Caenorhabditis elegans: one gene and its partner. The protein of the gene in region 1 interacts with the protein of each later gene in a pairwise test. Each region holds a gene or a part of one and is shown in the gene's direction. Other genes may lie near its edges.

Region 1 (4,287 bases):
CGAGCTCCACTAATATTAAGCTCGAGAGCGGCAGCATGCCTAGCTAACTCAGCTTTCGGGTTCAGGCACTGGATTGACGACATACTACCTGAAAACAAGAATTCAACTATGAAATATCTCAGTAAAACCAACAAAAACTAAAAAACGGAGAAATGAGATTGGAAAACGATTCAAGAGGAAAATAGACACGCATAAAAAGGTTCGAGAGCATATTACAATTCAAAAAGGTTCTAAAATGTATTATTACATAACTTTTTAAATAAAAAATAAAGACTTTCAACAGAAATCCTTGAAAAACAATGATTCTCGTTTGAATTTATTCTAGAAAATAAATTCGCTTCTAAAGGCGCACACAATTTCGCAACTGGGTCTCACCACGCAGAGACATTCTACGCTTTTCGGGGAGGATTTACGCGGTGTTTCAAAATTAGGTTTTTCATTATTTACATTGTTCCGCAGTAAAAATGCCCCAATACACCCTTTTCGGGAATAAGACGATGCAAACGATGCGCGGCCGCTGCCAATGCAGCATCAGTTGCTGCAAAAGCAGCTAAGAAGGTAAGCGTTTTTATTTGAAAAAAATTACCGGGAATTCAAATTCTTTGCAAGTTTTTCCAAATTGGGATTTATTTGAAATTGCTCAAAAATGTAATGCATTTTGCTTAATACACTCTACAGTGAAAATAACATTTTAAAACATTTACAATTAAGTTGACACAATAATTCCATGTTGTTAGCTTTCCCGTAGTTAAAAATTGTGCGAGAGATTGAAATTTGTGCGAATATTCGCCTTTTCAACGAAACATATACAAACTAAGTGGATCTGTGTTTTTATTTGAATTTCTGGGAATTAATTTTATCCTGAAGTTATGTATAAGCCGAATAGCTCTTTTTGTGTCGAGCAAGCGACTGCAATTTTCCACAATTTCCATTTCACAAATTTTAGTGGTCACTGCATTGTGTTCTTCTTTATCATGGTTGTCTTCATATCATCATTGATTCGGAAACTAAATATATATCAACCGGCTGCACGCCTTCTTTGCCGCGAATACGCAGAATACTACTATTCCGCAGATCACGACTGAGAAAATGATATTTATGACAAGGGAATGAGTTAATATTAATAATCAAAGAATTATTATAATTATCACGAAGTGGTTTCATATTTTTAATAGTCACGTGACTCGTCATTTCTTCGTTTTTACCTCGGACTGGCATGCCGCATTTTTTTTTTCATGAGCTATGAGCGCATTTTTTGAAAAATGTTTCTGCAATCAGATATATAAAACGTTGCCTGCCATAAAAACACAACTTGTAACCGCTGTAAATCATTAGCCTTGTATCATGTTCCACGTCATAAAATTTACAGCATTCTATAGTCTTATAGATATTGATCTGCAATCTGTCCTTGAATTCCTTGATTAACAATCAATTTCATCTCAGTTTTCGTCGTCATAAACAATCTGCCCGTGTCTCGCTCCGCCCATACATTTCATTCAATCTCCTTCGAACATTTTTCAATTCATTCTTGTTTTTTGACCACTAACCTCTTCGTTTTCTAATACCTTCTGTTTCAAAGCGTCTAACAATAATATATTTTTGTTTCCAGATGAACCGATTGTTGAGCAGTGGAATGTCTGCAGCTACCTTGCAGACCAGAATGGCGTCGCAATTGCTGATCAACGATTCAAAGTACGGATTCCTGAAAGAGCTTGGTCTCACGGAGAACAACGCCGGAGTCTTTCATGGAAAATGGGCGGCGAGTGGACAAGTTGTTCAGTCATTTGCTCCAGCAAATAACTCCCCTATTGCTAATGTAAGTTTCAAAAACATACCCTAAACGTTTTAAAACTTTCAAATTCCAGGTACAAAATGGAAACGTACAAGACTATGAAATCGCCATCTCTGAAGCTAAAAAGGCTTATAACGATTGGTGCGAGGTACCAGCACCACGACGTGGAGAAATCGTCCGTCAAATCGGAGACAAGCTCCGTACGCAGTTGCAAAACCTGGGAAAGCTCGTGTCCCTCGAGATGGGAAAAATTTCTGCCGAAGGAGTTGGAGAAGTTCAAGAATACGTCGATATTTGCGACTACGCTACTGGACTCTCTAGATCACTTGAAGGAAAAATCTTTCCTTCTGAGCGTCCAGGACACGCTCTTCTCGAACAATGGAATCCACTTGGAGTTGTTGGTGTGATTTCGGCTTTCAATTTCCCATGTGCAGTGTATGGATGGAATAACGCTTTAGCTCTTGTCACAGGAAATTCTGTTGTCTGGAAGCCAGCTCCATCCACACCATTGACAGCTATTGCTGTGACCAAGTAAGCTCGCTTATTTCATAATTGTAATCACTAAATAACTATTTTCAGACTTGTCGAGGAGGTTCTTGTTGCCAATAATGTAAATCCAGCTCTCTGTTCCCTTGTCTGTGGAGAGGGTGATGTCGGTCAAGCTCTTGTGAAGGATAAGAGAGTCAATCTAGTTTCATTCACCGGTTCATCAGAAATTGGAAAGATCGTTGGACAACAAGTTCAGGCTCGTTTCGGAAAGCTTCTACTCGAGCTCGGTGGAAACAATGCTATCATTGTTAACGAGGATGCTGATTTGAACATGGTTGTACCGGCAACAGTTTTCGCCGCCGTTGGAACTGCTGGACAGAGATGTACAACCACGAGAAGACTCATTGTTCACGATAAGGTTTACGATCAAGTTCTCGAGAGATTGAAGAAAGCTTATGCTCAATTTGAATCAAGAATCGGATGTCCATTGGATTCCAACACAATTATTGGCCCACTTCACAACCAACAGGCCGTTGGAAAGTACAAGGCTTCAGTTGCCGAAGCAGTTGCTTCTGGAGGAAAGATTGAGTACGGTGGAAAAGTTCTTGAGAGGGATGGAAACTTTGTTCTCCCAACAATTGTCACTGGATTGAAGCACGATTCTCCAGTTGTTCTTCGCGAGACTTTTGCCCCAATTCTCTATGTTCTGAAGTTCTCAACCCTCGAGGAAGCTATTGCAATCAATAATGAAGTTGATCAAGGATTGAGTTCTTCTCTATTTACAACAAATATTCAAAATGTTTTCAAATGGATGGGGTGAGATTTTCTGAAATTGTGAATTTAAAACTAACATTTAATTTTCAGACCAAAAGGAAGTGACTGTGGAATCGTCAATGTCAACATTCCCACATCTGGCGCAGAGATCGGAGGAGCCTTCGGCGGAGAAAAGGAGACCGGTGGAGGTCGCGAATCAGGATCCGACTCCTGGAGGCAGTACATGAGACGATCCACCTGCACGATCAATTACAGCAAGGAACTTCCTTTGGCTCAGGGAATTAAATTCGAATAGCTTAGTTTAGATTTTCTGTAAATATTCATTTCTCATTCAATTTGAGATGTTTTTTTTTCATGCATAATTATTCTCAGTTCCGTTCTAAAATTGCGTGTAATTCAACTCTTGTCCTCTCCTTTTGTGATTTGAATTTTTGTGCCATATCATTCCAAATGCTTAGTTTTTTTTTTAATGTTTGTTCAATAAACTTCCTTTTTTATTCATTCCACAAAATAAAGTGCAACATATTTTCAGCATATATGTCATAAAATTGACGAGACTGGTGAAAAACCGTACGCATACTTGAAAACCGATAAGCTGATTGGTTTCATCACTTTAAGTCATTTCCTAAAACTATAAATTCAATTTCACGCAGATTCTTCTCCGAATCTTCCGCTTGTTTTCTGCCCCAACGCAAGTTTTACTTTTTTTAAATACAATTATTATAATGATGGCATTTTTGTATGTTTAGGTGATGCCTGTTTTATAAATTAAGAGTTTTTTCTAAAAATGTTTTTAAACAACTTTAAACTAATCCACTTAGAAAGTCTGTCAAATTGAATTTTATTGATTGTTTTGGAAACAAACAAACCTCACAATTACAAAAACGCTTTCATTGTAAATATTGACGAATTTATCTCGAATATATTTATTTTTCTCTTAAAATAACTATTTTTACAGCATAAAAAGTGCCCGAAAAATGGCAACTGAAGCTGTCTACGGAAGTTGGGATAGTCCGATCACACCAGATCTCTTCGGAAAATGTAATTGCAAGTCTATCTGCGAGATGCAAGTTGTCGGTGGCAATGTCTACTGGATTGAACAGAATTCAGTAACTGGAAAACGAGAGCTTTACTCAAAACCAACGAATGGAGATACTCGTACACGCTGGGCTGATGGTCAATCTGTTCAAACTGCAATTCACGAGTACGGAGGAGGTGCTCTACATGTTCTT
Region 2 (7,011 bases), on another chromosome or scaffold:
CACAAATGGAAGATTGTGTCTGTGTGTATGAGATGAAATAGATAGAGAGAGAAAGAGAGAAAGAGAGAGTGGCGAGTGTAGAAAGTAACATTTAACAGAAAACGGCATTGAAAGATAGAGAGAGAGAGATGCAGAGAGGCAAAGTGATAGAGAGATGGAGGAATAGTGGTGTCCTGCGTAACTTTTGTCGTCGTTTCTTATCACTTGTTTACGTGCACAGTGCCCCCCCCCCCCCCCCCCCCCCGATGATCAACATTTTTTTGTGAACAGACAACAACATTTTGAAAGGTGATTTCAACGAATTATCTTGTTGAGAGCAAACGGGTCTGAAGCATATTCGTGGCTTAGCAATCTTATCAATTAATTGGTTTTCTTCCAAAAAATTGAGTAAATTGTATAGTTCTATAAGGTTTTTGTAACTGAACACTATAACTTAAAAGAATAACTAAAAATGTACATGCGTCCCGAAATACTTACAAAAATATTTGCGAACCCACACCGTCTAAATGATTCAACAAAAAAAGTTTCGCAATATTATACTATCAGGCAATTTTTGTAAAATCTGACCATTACACATACGGGATTTCCTGAAATGTGTGGTCTTGCGAATTTCGCAACTTTTCATGACAAAAATGTGTTTGGTCACAAAAACGGTTTCTCGACACTTTTTCCGAAAAAAACGTTTGCACTTTTTCACTATTTTTAAATCTATGTTCTGCTTAATTTCATTTCCACTTTTCTCTTAAAACATTTGACAAAAACTATAAGTTCTGACTCCCAATACTTTTTTCGTCGTATTTCCCTTCCGTTAACTCACTCACTGCTCTAGTTCTCAATAACAATAAATCAAGCGCTCAGTTTTTTTCGAGTTTTTATGGGCCCTTTTTGGGGGAAATGAAGGATAAAACGATAAAAACTGCAAAAGTATACTAAAAATAGTAAATTGAAGTTTAAAAAATTTAATATTCCGAAAATTGAAAAAAAAAACCCCATGTTATATGAGTTACTTGCCGCCCACCCACGGAAATTATTTATTTCTGCGTTAGTCATGCAACTAGTAAGAAGATCCCGCGGAACCATGAGTTTTTCTTTGTGATATTTCCAAATTCAGTATCTCCAATTAAATGATTCACACTTCGTTTTCTCCCTGCTTTATAAATGACTCAGCTATTCATGGCAGCTCCATCTTGCTCCTCCTCCCCAGCTTCCATGTTGCACTTGTTCACATCACATCCCATAAAAATTCATGCACCCGCTCCAAGGTTACTATTGGTTCCCAGTGACAACACCAACAAAAACGGATTTCGGTTCTCGTTTTGGTCTGGCACCTTGATTTCAATTTGAATTTTTACGACAACACATCCCGGGCAACGGTTTTTCGCTTTGTTTTCACATTAATTTTTTCTCACTGGGATGAAAATGGGGGCCCCTCTTTTTTCCCTTTTTCTATTTTTCTGCTTCCTACTCACCAAATTGCTTCTGCTCTCTTCTCATTCTTCTATCTTTTCCTCACTTTTTTCCTATTCCTATTTTTCTTATTTCTTCTATTTTTCAACGATCTATTCCGCGTTTTTCTACAGAATTTCGTACTCTCATTCATCAAATCTGAGAACCCTCCGCCAGGAGAAAAAAAGAAGGAAAAAACGTGATTCCCAAATCTTTAATTAAAGGACCAGATTGATGGATAAGTAACGAAAGACCAACACTATCTATTTTACATTTAGATTCGAAAAAAGATTGAATGACACCTCTAAATTTTGTTCACAAAACCGCGAAACCACCATTTGTATTCTTTATTGTCATTTTTCCTCATTTTTCGCTTTGTGAAAAATTTACCCACCGTATTTTTTGCTGAAATCCGTGTCTCTTGCTCTTTCCTTATCCTCATTTAATTTTTGCAGACGATCGCTGGTCGGCGAATTCTACAATTTATGTAGATCGGTGCGGAACGTCTCTCTAGAGTCTTACATCATGGAGCGAAAAGGTAAGAAAAATCTCATTTACCTCAAATTTGCCAAAGCATCTAATTTCGACTTGTTGTAGGACGTGAGCGCAAGCTGCCGGGCATGAAGATCGTGATGCCAACACCGGTCGAGACGCCCACAATGAATCTGGAAGACAGATGTCTTATCAAGTAAGTATTAGGTGATACCCGTGTCGGGTTTGATATTGAACACGTAAAGACGGCGCGGCGAATTATGTAATAATAATATAAGTATGAGAAATTTTTGATTGATGCAGATTGACAAACGAGTCCGAAGAGATTGAGATTGCCGCCACCGACCTCGTCGTACTCGAAGAACTTGGAAAAGGTGGATATGGGATTGTGGAGAAAATGCAGCACAGGCAGAGCGGGATAATTATGGCGGTAAAAGTGAGTATCACAACAAGAACAGTTTGAAAAAATTAACTATGTACATATGTTTGGTAATTCACCAAAAGCGGTTTTTTCAAAAAAATGTTTCATTTTTTCGTAACTTTTCAAAAAGTAACTAAATTCAAATTCCTATTTGGCTGGTGCACTAATAAATAGGCAATTTGTATAAATTTAAGATATTCATAAAATACTTTTCTTTAATTAGGGAAAAACTATTCTAATTTGAATGCAACGTGTCATTTTTCACATACAATAGTTATTCAAAAGCAAATGCAAGTTAGCAAGATGAAGATTATTGAATTTAGGTGTGACTGCAAAAATAATAGTTAGTCTTCATTGCCAACGGAAAGCATTTCCATTTTTTGAAGGGCGCCGTGTGAGACGACACACTGATTGCCTTTTGGCTGTCGGCACACGCGCCCACACGTCACCTTTGAAAAGTTGGTGTATAAATTAAAATTTTCGTGAACAAAGGTAAATTATGGAAGTGAAGAAATGAGAATTTGAGGATAGGATTTCAAACGCAGGTCACTCGTTTCTGATATGATGAAAAAAATCTTTTTTTTTTTGAAAAGGAACATGAGAAATAGATTCAAAGTAGCTTGATATCAAACATTTATGGAATGTATTGAGATTTATCAATACTTACTGATTTCAAAAATTCATTTTCATCCATACACTAGAATAAGTGACTAGGTGATTGTACATCAATATGTATGTTAATAGGACATACCAACAATAAGAACAGTCTGTGACGCGGAAATTTTCCATAAAAAAGGTCACTTCATAGATTTCATATGTTGAACTTTCACTAGAACATATTGCAAATACTTCATATGTAGTTGTGGCAAAGTTCAAGATTAAAGTAAATACAACATGTAAATGGAAAACTGATCTGACCAAAAAATGTTTTCAAATCACGAATATTTAAATTCTCAATATAAAAATTAATCGAAACTACAGATTTAAATACTAAAAAAAAATTATAAATTAAATATTACTGGTTTGAACCGAGACTTAAGCAAATCGCGTATTGAAAAAAATAAAAAATGAATTTTCAAACTAAATCGAATTTATCTTTTAAATTGATCCTAAGCAAATTTCATTTTCTTACAGCGAATCAAATCATCAATCAACGATCAATCTCAAAAGCAGATGCTCAACGAGCTAGACGCGTGCAGGAGAAGTGATTGCTGTCCGCAAATGGTACGGTTCTATGGAGCAATGTTTCGCGAAGGTGATGTCTGGATTTGCATGGAAGTGATGGACACGTCGCTGGACAAATTTTACCGGCACGCATACAAAATTGGCAAACACATTCCAGAGCCGTTTATTGGGAAAATGGCTCTGTCGGTCATTGAAGGACTCAACTTTATGAAAGAGCAACTGAATTTGATTCATCGAGACGTGAAACCGTCGAACATTCTGTTAAATCGACATGGACAAGTCAAGATTTGCGATTTTGGAATTTCAGGTCACTTGACAAACAGCATGGCCAAGGTACGGAAAATCGATAAAAATGAGACCTCTATTAAAAAAATGAAATGCAATTTTATTTGCCGAATGATGTCATGCCAATCAGAGTTATCTTTCAATTTCATCATGACCGGGAAGAAAAATTTCAAAATATATATAGTGTTTCGATTTACAGACTGTACAAGCCGGATGCAAACCTTACATGCCACCAGAGAGAATTGATGGAGAGACTAAGTCAGCCTATGATGTGAGAGCTGATGTATGGAGTTTGGGTATAACAATAATTGAAATCGCCGTTGGCACCCATCCCTACGCAAATTGGAAAACCCCATTTGAACAATTGAAACAGGTTGTGAAAGAGCCGCCACCAAAATTGCCGATGGAAAGTGGTTTTAGTGTTGATTGTCAGTACTTTGTCAAGAGATGGTGAGTTTTTTGGAGTTTCTGGGTGTGGAGTTGGGAAGAGTATGAAAATTTGCAAATTGCAGTCTTGAAAAGGATTACAATGAACGTCCCAAATATCCGGAATTATTGGCGATGCCGTTTATGGAGCAGGCAAGAAATGAGAAGCAATTTAGTATGGCTCGGTTTATCAATGAGGTAAGATTTGCTGCTATCAAAAAGACAATTTTTTTGCTGAAAAATTGAGAAAAACAATCTGTAAATAAATGGGTAAAATTAAATTAAATGTTTATTAATTTCTCCATTTAAATGAAACGTGAAATTGATTTTTAATTTTTAGGCTTAAAAATTGTTGTCTAAGTATAATTGTCCTCCTAAGCCTTAAAATACAAAAGAGTTTTATTTTCTATGTCTAAAAATTCAAGTTTAGCGTTAAAATTTTTGGACGATAGCTTTTAGTGAAAATCGGTATTTTGTTACAAAACACTTTATTGTAGAAACTAAACACTTTAAAATAAATTGAAAATTGGTGAATGATGTCAATTTTGTGAAGTGTGCTTAAATTGCTTTAAGAAATAACAAAAATGCAAAATAAGTGCAATAAAAAAACAATCAAAAAGTCAGGTTATTTCTGAGAAATTTCGAAGAGTAAAAAATGTTGTCAAAAAATCAGTTCGGTACATCAGCAAAGAAAAGTATAGATCAACTTCAAAACATCACCAAAACTTAGCATGTACAGTTTGTTTCCAGCAGGACCAACTTACAGTAAAAGCACCACTGAATGTTATTTTTTATAATTTTTTGTATTTTAATCTGAAAATCGTTTTATATCTGACAATCTTGAATCTTACTAAGGTCCGATGGGCACCTTCTGACGGTTCCCTAGTTAGGTAAAAACTATGCTAGATTTGCGAAAAATTGCAAAAACTTCTGAATTCATTCATTGCAGATTCTCGACACTGTTTGGCGACGATGAGCATCGGGTGTGCCGAATGGCGAACAAGTCTTTTTCTAGTACGACACGTCTCAAATTGAGAATAGCGTTTTTTTGTACGCCTCGCTGGCCGTCAATGGAACATCGATATTTGTTGAATAATCAGCAACGTGGACGGAATAAATTATCACTTCTTTTCCCTTTTTGTCAAATATTGAATTTTATGTTCTTATGTTTTGTTTATATCATATATCTCTCAGATTCCAATTATTTCTTTGCTTCTGGTAACCGTTTCTTTCCGAGTCAACCGCTTATCCTTATTTCATTTTCAATTTTATAGGAAATCTTTCTCTATCGCTTCTTTTTTCGTGTCTTCTCCTCGTAGTTATAATCAATCATCGGTGTTTTTCTACATTTTTTTTACGTTTAAATGTTCAAGTAGTTTATTAGCATCTGTGATTTTTATTTTCAAATGGTAGCTCATAATTTTCCAATCAAACTCGAAATGACCTAGTTGTTTTCTTAAATGATTTTAGTAGTCATTCCTATCTCATCTCATCAGACTTCTCATTTCAATTGTTTAACTTCTTCCTCTGCATATACAGTGCCATTTTCGATGTCAAATTCGTATTCAACATGGATTATTCTACTCTAGAAATCAAAAATGTATTCTATTGCACCCCTCCTCCCGCATTTGTTTCATCTGTGGGTTAATAATGATATTTATAAATTGATGTGCTGTTACAAAAACGAAAACAATCAACATCACTTATCCTTCTTTCTATTTTTCTTCTTCTCTGGTCTTATGCGCTTATTCTCCTTATAACAGTTCTTGCCCAGAAAATCAGCGTACACGTTTCATTTTCTTTTCTGTTCGTTTTCTCCCCTAACTCAGACATTACAAATTTCTAAACGTTTTGTTTTCAATTACACCAACCATCCCCCACTTTTCTCCCTCACCCCATATCAAGGATATGAGTCTCTTTTGGTTTATATTGCTCGAGTAAAGATTTTTTTTTAATTCAGATAACGGTTAAATATCGTGAATTGATGTTGCAATGTCTTCCTGTTTCAGAGCTATGTAAAAACTGACGCCAGTGATAAAATAATGTGGCAACCAGAGGAAGGAAAAATATAAGAATGTGAAAAAGCAAGTTTAGTTCAAATTTTTCAATAGTAAATCACACTACGACTTGATTGGGATAGTTGGTTTTGGTTGCTTTTCAAGATATTTATAAAAACGTTTTTTAAATTTTCCAATATATAAATAGAGAACGAGTGAATATCATTTTCCTTGTTTGAATTGCCATAATTGATAAATTGAAAATATCTGGAAAATAATATAAACAAAAAAGACCAAGAAATATAAATGTTTTGTTTCATTAAGGCACATCATGTACGGACTTCTATTTTACTATTATTTCTATCGTTTTCACCGGAGTTTGCTAAAGTTGCAAAATTCTTAAAAACAACTGATGCTTGTTTCAGAATTGCAACCGACACAACCGACAGCAAAGTTGCCAAAGCTTTCCCAATCATCAAGCATACATTTTTGTTGAACATAAACCTTGGAGTGTTTTCGTGAAACTTTGTTAGAAAAATTTTTTCATTAGAAGTGAAATGCTACTAACTTTCTGGATTGTTGACGCCGGGTTTGCCAGAGCTATCAAATATAAAATTACGAGTGTGGTCACAGATGTCGAGCCACAAGATTCCCGGTGGTTGAGTATGAGCAGCCACAATACGTTTTTATATATATGATGTAACTTTTTGAAACATGTTGAAACTTTTTGAATTTCAATAATAACAATTTTCTTTCTAA

What was found.
Region 2: the proteins of alh-9 (region 1) and sek-1 interact in a two-hybrid assay, tested with the Caenorhabditis elegans proteins (one large-scale study listed by BioGRID).

Annotation. Positions count from the first base shown.
Region 1 is NC_003281.10:5,855,600-5,859,886, forward strand, and holds alh-9 (Putative aldehyde dehydrogenase family 7 member A1 homolog), read left to right. Parts: upstream 1-1,609; coding exon 1,610-1,816; intron 1,817-1,865; coding exon 1,866-2,323; intron 2,324-2,371; coding exon 2,372-3,097; intron 3,098-3,145; coding exon 3,146-3,350; 3' UTR 3,351-3,580; downstream 3,581-4,287. Other genes in the region: cct-6 (T-complex protein 1 subunit zeta), read right to left, coding at 1-83; dpf-4 (Peptidase S9 prolyl oligopeptidase catalytic domain-containing protein), read left to right, coding at 4,033-4,287.
Region 2 is NC_003284.9:7,814,833-7,821,843, forward strand, and holds sek-1 (Dual specificity mitogen-activated protein kinase kinase sek-1), read left to right. Parts: upstream 1-1,901; 5' UTR 1,902-1,971; coding exon 1,972-1,984; intron 1,985-2,043; coding exon 2,044-2,134; intron 2,135-2,241; coding exon 2,242-2,374; intron 2,375-3,493; coding exon 3,494-3,877; intron 3,878-4,028; coding exon 4,029-4,279; intron 4,280-4,341; coding exon 4,342-4,453; intron 4,454-5,204; coding exon 5,205-5,231; 3' UTR 5,232-6,204; downstream 6,205-7,011. UniProt on the Caenorhabditis elegans protein: Dual specificity protein kinase which acts as an essential component of the p38 signal transduction pathway which is also composed of upstream effector nsy-1 and downstream effector pmk-1. May phosphorylate pmk-1.